Linked DNA regions of Danio rerio. The protein of the gene in region 1 interacts with the protein of each later gene in a pairwise test. Links are inferred from orthologs where the notes say so. Each region holds a gene or a part of one and is shown on either strand. Other genes may lie near its edges.

Evidence for each region.
Region 2: the proteins of tex11 (region 1) and necab2 interact in binary tests that used the Homo sapiens proteins (3 or more experiments, as listed by UniProt). The two-hybrid records come from large-scale screens. The link is inferred for Danio rerio from reciprocal best matches to the Homo sapiens genes TEX11 and NECAB2.

What each region holds. Positions count from the first base shown.
Region 1 is NC_133189.1:37,599,810-37,603,635, forward strand, and holds part of tex11 (testis-expressed protein 11), read left to right. Parts: intron 1-85; coding exon 86-165; intron 166-338; coding exon 339-419; intron 420-896; coding exon 897-1,013; intron 1,014-1,085; coding exon 1,086-1,166; intron 1,167-1,262; coding exon 1,263-1,348; intron 1,349-2,044; coding exon 2,045-2,102; intron 2,103-2,336; coding exon 2,337-2,432; intron 2,433-2,533; coding exon 2,534-2,615; intron 2,616-2,698; coding exon 2,699-2,777; intron 2,778-2,872; coding exon 2,873-3,024; intron 3,025-3,826. UniProt on the Homo sapiens protein: Regulator of crossing-over during meiosis. Involved in initiation and/or maintenance of chromosome synapsis and formation of crossovers.
Region 2 is NC_133193.1:23,004,194-23,008,811, forward strand, and holds the end of necab2 (N-terminal EF-hand calcium-binding protein 2), read left to right. Parts: intron 1-911; coding exon 912-1,003; intron 1,004-3,184; coding exon 3,185-3,213; 3' UTR 3,214-3,888; downstream 3,889-4,618. UniProt on the Homo sapiens protein: May act as a signaling scaffold protein that senses intracellular calcium.

The DNA.
Region 1 (3,826 bases):
ACAAATAAAAATGTTAAAGTGTATCCCAGATGTTTACATAGATGTCAATTATTTAATTATTTAATACTCTACAAATTTGTTTTAGTGCGTCATGTGGCATGCAGACTTCTGTATTCATGCGGGCCTGAGAACCCATCAGAGAGTATCGTGCGCAAGCAAATACTGGTTAGTGAAAAATTATTTCCAGCAGTCTTGTTTATTAGCTTGTACTAATTTGACATTCACACAGAAGTCAGTAATAAAGTGGTTCATGCATATGCACAGTACATTTGTTTATTTCCATCCCTTGTGCATGCTCCTTGCATATTTGACTGAAATCTTACTTGTTTGTTTCTCAGATGGCCAGTAAAACTGGGAGAACATGGCTCGATTGTAAAAACTCCAAGTCTGCGGATGCTTTTTTGAGCATGGCTGTCAATGTATGTATGAATTCATTGAAAAAAACAGACAATATTGGCGGAACAAGAAAAAATTGCATATAATAAATAAATATATAATGCTATTGTGTGGTGGAATATTGATAAGTACCCATAATTATTTTTCACATTTTGGTAGTGTACTTACTGTAGGGTGTTTTGGGTTGACTTTTCCAATACTATTTAAAACTTGGTTACTCTCTGAACCCAGCCCGTCTCGTTGTAAATTTATTATTTATTTAATGCTTTTTCTGGATAAATTTTACATCCATAAATGAAAAAAAATAAATTCTAAGTAACTCCTTTTTTATTTTCAGAAACGATTTTGATAATATGTGAACTAGGGCTGCAGGATGCTATTAAAATTTTCTACAGTTCTGCAGTCTTTGTAAATATTTTTTTCTTGCATCGAAATAAATAAGACACAATAATATTGACGTAATACATGAATAAGAAACCACAAATATGCTACTTTTACAGAGCCTGGAGACTCTTTACAGCAGACTAACATCCCATGGAGATGGAGAAGATATGAACACACCAAAGGGCGACATAGAGAAAGACCTGTTGCGGATTTTGTCTTATCAGGCAGAATCTGTTAGTAGAGATTGCTTAGCATGTGCAAATGTGTGTATTTTTTTATATGCAAGTTTATTTTTGCTTTTATAGGCAGTATCTCAAGAGCAACACCAAGTGGCAGTGTCATGCATACAGCGATGTAAAGAAATCCTTCTACGCCTCCCTAAAGAGGTGGACAAAGTGGTGCAATTTTTAAATTCTGATTTAAGAGAGCGAAAATTTATAGTATAAATGGAAATAATGCTGCCTCTGTGAAATCCTGTTTAGACTGGCTATCTCTCCCTCATCTGTTACAACTTTGGGGTTGACACTTACAGTCAGGGAAAGCATGAAGAGAGCACATTTTGGCTTAGGTAAGGATCTCTGTAATAATATAATAAATATACTAAATAATAAACTCTCTGGTTTTCTCCCACAGTCCAAAAAACATGCATCATTAGTGAATTGATTAATCTAAATTAGCACTTTAGTAGAGCTCTTAACCAGCTGTATATCTCTCTCTATATAACAATTTTAATCTGTCATCAGCTCTAAATAAGGGGAAGTTCTTGAGACTAACCTGAGCTTAAACTCCCCTCTCGCTCTAATGGGAGAAAGCCCAAGGCTCAAGGACATTGACCTCAGGGCTTTCTCCTGGGGCAGCATGCCAAACTTGCTTCATAAATTAATCATCAGCTAAGTGTTAACTTGGTAAAAATAATCTGATTTGGTGTTCACGAAAAATTTCTTAATGTTTTTGTGGACGCTGTGATATCCGTTTTCATGAGGATTATTTAAATAGAAAGTTCAAATGAACAGCATTCATTTAAACAGAAGTATTTTATAACTCTTTAATTGTCCTTGCGGTCACATCTTCAATTTAATTACTAATTTTTTATAAAAATATTAAAAGGTCTTCCAAAGAAAGACCCAAAACTGACCCAAAACTTTTGTGCAATATTGCCACAACATTAGTGTTGTTATGATAGCTATTTGCACTATAAGGACATTTCCCATGTGTTGAAAGTTTTTTTTTCTTCTGGTTAACACATTCTTAATCTGCATTGCAGCCAAAGTTATGATATAGGCAAGATGAACATGAAGTATTCACCAGGATCAGAGATGCAAGTAAGAAACATTAGATGTGACTGAAATTAATAGACTTGGTGGAATTGGACTTTTCTGATTTGAATTGTTTATTAGTATAATTCTGGGCAGAATAGTTTAGAGTTCACATTCATTTTTTTACACCTGTCTGTTTATTTCCATGCTTAAATTAGATTTTGAATCTCAGATATTTATTGTGGTCTCCGACTGTTTTTGTATTAAATGAATGCGTTGTCTAATTTCTTATTCTTCCAGGCCAAAGTCTTGAGGCTTCTTGCAACAGTTTATTTGGAGTGGGACCACCAGAAGTATCTAGAAAAAGCTCTTCAGGCTGTGAGCTTGGCAAATAAGGTAAAGTATCCCTAGTTCAGCTATTTTTTATTAAAGTAGATGATCAGATTAAACTGTAGCACAGCTTTGTTTTATTACATCATGTTTGTTATTTTTTTCAGGAGCACATGCAGTTGTCAGGTCTTTACTTGAAGATCCGTATCCTAGTGAAAGGCTGTAGCCCAGATGAAGCAGTAAAATCCGGTGAGCCATGTTATTTCACAAAAAAAAAAAAAAATTACTCCACAAATGTTGTCCTAAACATGTTGCTTTCCCTGTCCTGTCAGGACTGTCAGAGCTGCTGGACTGTGAGGTTCCACTGGAAGTGTGTTTGAGCACAGTAAAGCTGCTTGTAGAAGAGAACAGGTATGACCTTTCATGTTTCTAAACAGGCACAAAAACATCCTGAGATCTGTAGTTGAAAGAGACATTACAGAGGCACTGACATGTTGTTGTTTCAGGGAGGCTTTGGCCTTTGACTTCCTGAAGCGAGTGTGTCAGCATTTTGAGTCGTCTCCTGAACTGGGCTCTGCTCTGCTCATGCATATAGAGCTGCTGCTGCAGCGGGACAAAGAGCTGCTGGCCAAGCAGAAGATCGAGGATGCTATTACTGGTGCTCAAAAGTATTTTGTTATTATGTGAAGCAACCGAGTCATTGTTATTTTATAGTTTTAAGCAAGAGTGCATTTCATGTCATTATACTGTATGAAACATGTGACCCTTCACACAATGTTTTCTCTGTTAAACAAGTCATAGTGCTCCCACTATTTACTTCTGTGATTCCCTGGAAAACACTTAATATTTTCATCTTGGTTTCAAATAGAAGCAAACACTGGGACACAATGAGAAGGCTCAGTTGAACTGTATTTAATTGTTTAATTGGTAACACTTTAATTGAAAAAGTGTTTATAAGACTGTCATTAAACCTTTATAATCAACATAATATATATATAAACAACTGTCATTAAGTGTCATTCACTCAGTTATGGTGTTTTAAACAAATACATAAACAAATACATCACAATCTGTTTTTGTCATGACAACTTGATATTACCAAGACAACAAAACTTGTCATAAACCTGTCGTAAACATGATTGTCATGAAGCCGTTATTATTGTCATAAATTTATTGTAGCGTCGTTAATTATATATTTTTTTATCTCAACTACAGTGATACAAGCTGAGTTTGTCTTTAAAATGTCATTAAAAATTAATGACACTGTTAAACTTGTTTAATGAGACATTTTAATGACAAATACAATTTTTTCACTGAAAACATCTTCAGAAAAACATTCATGACAATTATAATGCCTCATGACAATCATGTTTATGACAAGTTATTTTGTCTTGGTAATGGTATCATGACAAAGATGAAGACTGGTTGTGATGTATTTGTTTGCCAGCAGTTATAACAAA
Region 2 (4,618 bases), on another chromosome or scaffold:
ATCCTTTAAAAGTGCATTCAGACACGCGCTTAATGCTTTTGCACCATGCGCTTTAGATTTTGTGCCTAGATCATTAAAATGGAGCTCTTAAAGTCCATGTGACCTGGAATTTGTTAAGACTTTTATTTATGTATGTTGATGTACTTCCAACTGAAACTGGATATTAAGTAGGGGGTGAAGTTTTTTTATTGCTCATCATCCCCTTGTAGAAAAGGGGTGTGATTAAAAAAATATCAAACTGACATCAACAGAGAACCGCCACTCCTAATGTGGAAGCAACATGTCAGATTTTGAATGAAGATTAACAAAACTAAACTAAACTAAACTAAACTAAAAATCTGTGAATTAACTTGCAAAATGATTGACTACAGTAATTTTGCAATTATTAGAGTACTAGTAGACTTTCTGCTAGCACTTTATTTTGATACTCCTTCAAAACATTAAATACAAGTAACTTTGCAAGTACAGTACAGGGCAAGTAAAGTTATAGTTTACTATAATTATTGATATTTGTGATTAACATTCAATTTCATCTCATTAGGCCACTTTTTTGTCAAGACTTTCCCTTAAATTTTATCATGCTTTACATTATTTTTAAGACCATCTTTGTGATATTATGTTATGGAATGAACAAACACATTAACATAGTTTACTACTTGTTAAGTATGAAGCTTAAGACATTTTATTTTAAAAAAAAGGTCATGCTATTGTTGAAAATTGCATCTTAAAACCAGAAGTAAATGGGGCGCTAGTTGACTAGAAGATACAAAGTCAACAGAATTTATAAATGGTCTAGTTCTGTTCAGAATCTATTTAGCTGCAAAGTCACATGTACAGTATTTTATTGATGCTGCTTTGCATCTGAAGACTGATTATAATGCTGGAACTGTGTCGCTTGATTTCCCTCTCAGGCATCTTCTGACTGCAGCCTGCAAGGCGTTCCAGCATGTGAAAGTGGATACTCTGTGTCAGCCTGAGGCGGTGTCCACTGTCGCTGTGCCCGGTGTGTTCTTCTGTCTGCTATAGAGGCTGCTGTGGGCATTAGAGCCAAACCAGTCTTTGATGCTGCTTGTTTTGCATGTATTGTGTAGTCTAGAGGAGGGATGTCCTTACATTTCACAGCTATTATGAATTCCTACTTGCCCTGCAGGATTACTCTCATTTTCAGCATGTCTGTCCTCTGACAGTCTCTGCATTTGGAGCTTCTGTATTGCAAACACTCTTGCGCTCATTCCAGCTCTATTACAAAATAGAAATACTGAAAGAAAAAAAAACACTCAAGAGCCTGCATACATTTGAAGTCAGAATTATTAGCCCCACTTTGATTTTTTTCTTTTTCTTTTTTAGATATTTCCCAAATGATGTTTGACAGAGCAAGGAAGTGTTCACAGCATGTCTGATAATATTTTTTCTTCTGGAGAAAGTCTTATTTGTTTTATTTCGGCTAGAATAAAAGTAGTTTTTTTTTTAAGGTCAAAATTATTAGCCCCTTTAAGCAAACATTTTTTGATAGTCTACAAAACAAACCATCATTATACAATAACTTGCCTAATTACCCGAACCTGACTAGTTTACCTAATTAACCTAGTTAAGCCTTTAAATGTCACTTCAAGCTGTATAGAAGTGTCTTGAAAAATATCTAGCCAAATAGTATTTACTATCATGGTGGCAAAGATAAAATAAATCAGTTATTAGAAATTAGTTATTAAAACTATCATGTTTAGAAATGTTGAAAAAAAAATTGTCTCTCCGTTAAACAGAAATTGGGGAAAAAATAAACAGGGAGGCTAATAATTCTGACTTCAACTGTAGTTGTAAAAAGGACATATAAACTTAAATAGGCACACAAATGGTGCTGAGCAGTAATTTGTAATTAAATTGTAGCATATTTGATATTTTATTCTGTCATTTAGACAATGGCAGATAAAAAAATTGTAAGTTACTAATTTTTCCTAATTCTAGATGTCACTTTTTCATTTAAAAATACAAAATATGTTACAATTTGTATGCATTTGGACAGTTATGTACACAATGGCAAACTATTTAGTTGTTTATTGATTTTTACTAATTGTAGATATCTCTTTTTAATTAAAAATACAATAAAATTGGCCTTTTTTATACAGTGAGAAAGTTATGTACACAGTGGCAGGCTATTTTGTCGTTTACGGATTTAATTTTTTTTTCTAGGTGTTACGATGTTACGCTTTGAATAAAAAAAATAGAATAGAAATGCCATAATTTCAGCATTTTAAAAACAAGTTTAGTATAATAGATTACAATAAATATTTTTATACAAGTGCATATGCATTTACATTAAATATGCTTATATTCGTTATTTAAAGTAATAATGTGGAAGTTGTGTAGTTTAGAACTACTGTTATTAAAAACTAAAATTGATATGATCTATAGACCCTTTTCACAAGACTGTTATGATGTGTTTAACAATCATCATAATCTTAAATCCTTGAATCCTTTTAAATATTTAGATTAAAAAAACGTTTATACATTAATATGCATTTATGAATATTTTATATAATCTTTGTGTCAAATTACAAAAAACTCAGTCTCACGCAATTTTTTCTTTTTTTGAAAGTCTTGATAACACCATTGTTGAGTTTTTCTTTTATTATTTCAGCTAATAGGACTATAAAAAATATTATTTGTACTCTCACTGCGCTCTACGTTTACCTAACCATGATGCCTTATGGAAATGTGAAAAGGGTCCATTATTAAAACTTATTAAAATTATTTGTTTACATACTGTTATATATAATTAACACTATAATTATTTATAATGAATTTATTATAAATAGTTGACCTTAAAGTATGTGTGTGTATAAATCTATGTCTGTGTGTCTATGTGCAAGTGGCTGCCTGTGCTGAGTGTGCTTTTAGTAAGTGCATTGATTCTCTTTCAAATGTTTCATTACACGTTCCAGGGCTAACCAAATCTATCTGTATGTCTCTCTGAATGTGAAGCGATCAGAGCAGCCTACAGTTTACAGTGCTTTGCATAACCGCAAAACTATAAGCTTGTCTAGAATGTGTTTACAGAAATTTGTCAACCGCTATACAAAGAATTTTACTGTCTTTCATTACTTTAATAATGACACTGACTCTCTGTCTCTCTCTCTCTCTCTCTCTCTCTCTCTCTCTCTCTCGCTCACTCTTTTACTCTTTCTAGCCGCCTGGTGCAGCCTGAACAGGGACTGAGAAGTGTGCCAGTCTGCGGGTGGGACGTCCCGCTTATTGCCTGAAACCCCTCTCTTCTCTCTATCTTTCTGTCACAGTCTCTGCTTTCTTACCTCCTCTTTCTCTCTGCTCCCCCACTCCGTCTCCTCTTTTGTAATTACTTGTTTACACAGTATCCATTTAATATTGAGCCAAAAGTAGTGTCTCCAGACACAGTTCCCTCTTCACATCCACTGCAACACACAGAAACCCACATCAAAACTCCCACCGCATTCGGGAAGCTCACTTTTGCACCTAAAACATCACCTTACATGAACAGTCTCTACTAACCAAAAGAGGCCGATTAATATTTCATCCCAATTCAAGCACGCATCCGCTGCTTTGCAGACAGTTCCCTGCGGTACAACTTCTGAGAAGACAAAAACTGTGCAGCAAAGTATTTCTAAAGCTGTCCATGGACACTAGCATTTCTGTAAAGGCTGTTTAATACTAGGTATAGGTTGGTCTATTAAGTACTTTGGACTGTATCTTCATGAATTGTTTGTGTAACGCACTGAGCCATGTAGAAGGACTGGTGCTTCTGTCAAAACCGTGAGCATGACCAATACTGCCAGTCAAGGGGCCTACATTTACAACACATCCAAATCAACATCCGCTCCAAAAAGCACAATGTTCCTGAACGAGGAATGAAATGCTTGTATAAATGAGATTCGCTGACGAAGAGAACATCATTTTATGTTGATCACTCTTGAGAGGGAATATATAGATGTGGGACGAGTGCTTAAATTAAAAGAGTGGCATTGACTTAAAGGGATAGTTCATCCAAAAATGTATTTTACACTATTTACTCGTCCTGAGTAGTAGATATTTTGAAGAAAGATACCGTAGATATATACACTAGAAATTGCATATGGACCCTGTGCATGCGTCAATAGTGCCGCCAAATTTGTACAGTGCTCTCAGGACAAAAGTCATTCAACCGCACTAGTCAAGACCAAAGCCAATCTGATGATGCTGGACTTTTGTGCTGCAAACAGGTTTAGTAACGAGCAAAGAAAGAAAACAAAGCATAAAGGCAGAACATTTCATAGATAAGATGTTGTTTTGTATGTTACGAACTTTTGGGCTAAACAAGTCACGTTATTGATGATTATACAGTCACTTACTGCACAGACCATAAGCGCAAAGTAGCACCAACTCACACTAAATTCTAGGCGTATAATGAATAAAATCAGCAGACAATGTAAAAGAAATATGACAACCAGATGCTGCGGTGCCAGAAACTTGTAATTTTGTCGGCTAAGTGAAGTAACGGCTAATTTAGTAAGTAACTTATAAGGGTGCCTGATACCATAACAGTGCCTGCACCTCAGTGTCCACCCTAAATTATTGAATATTACAAATGTTATATAGCATTTAGATCATA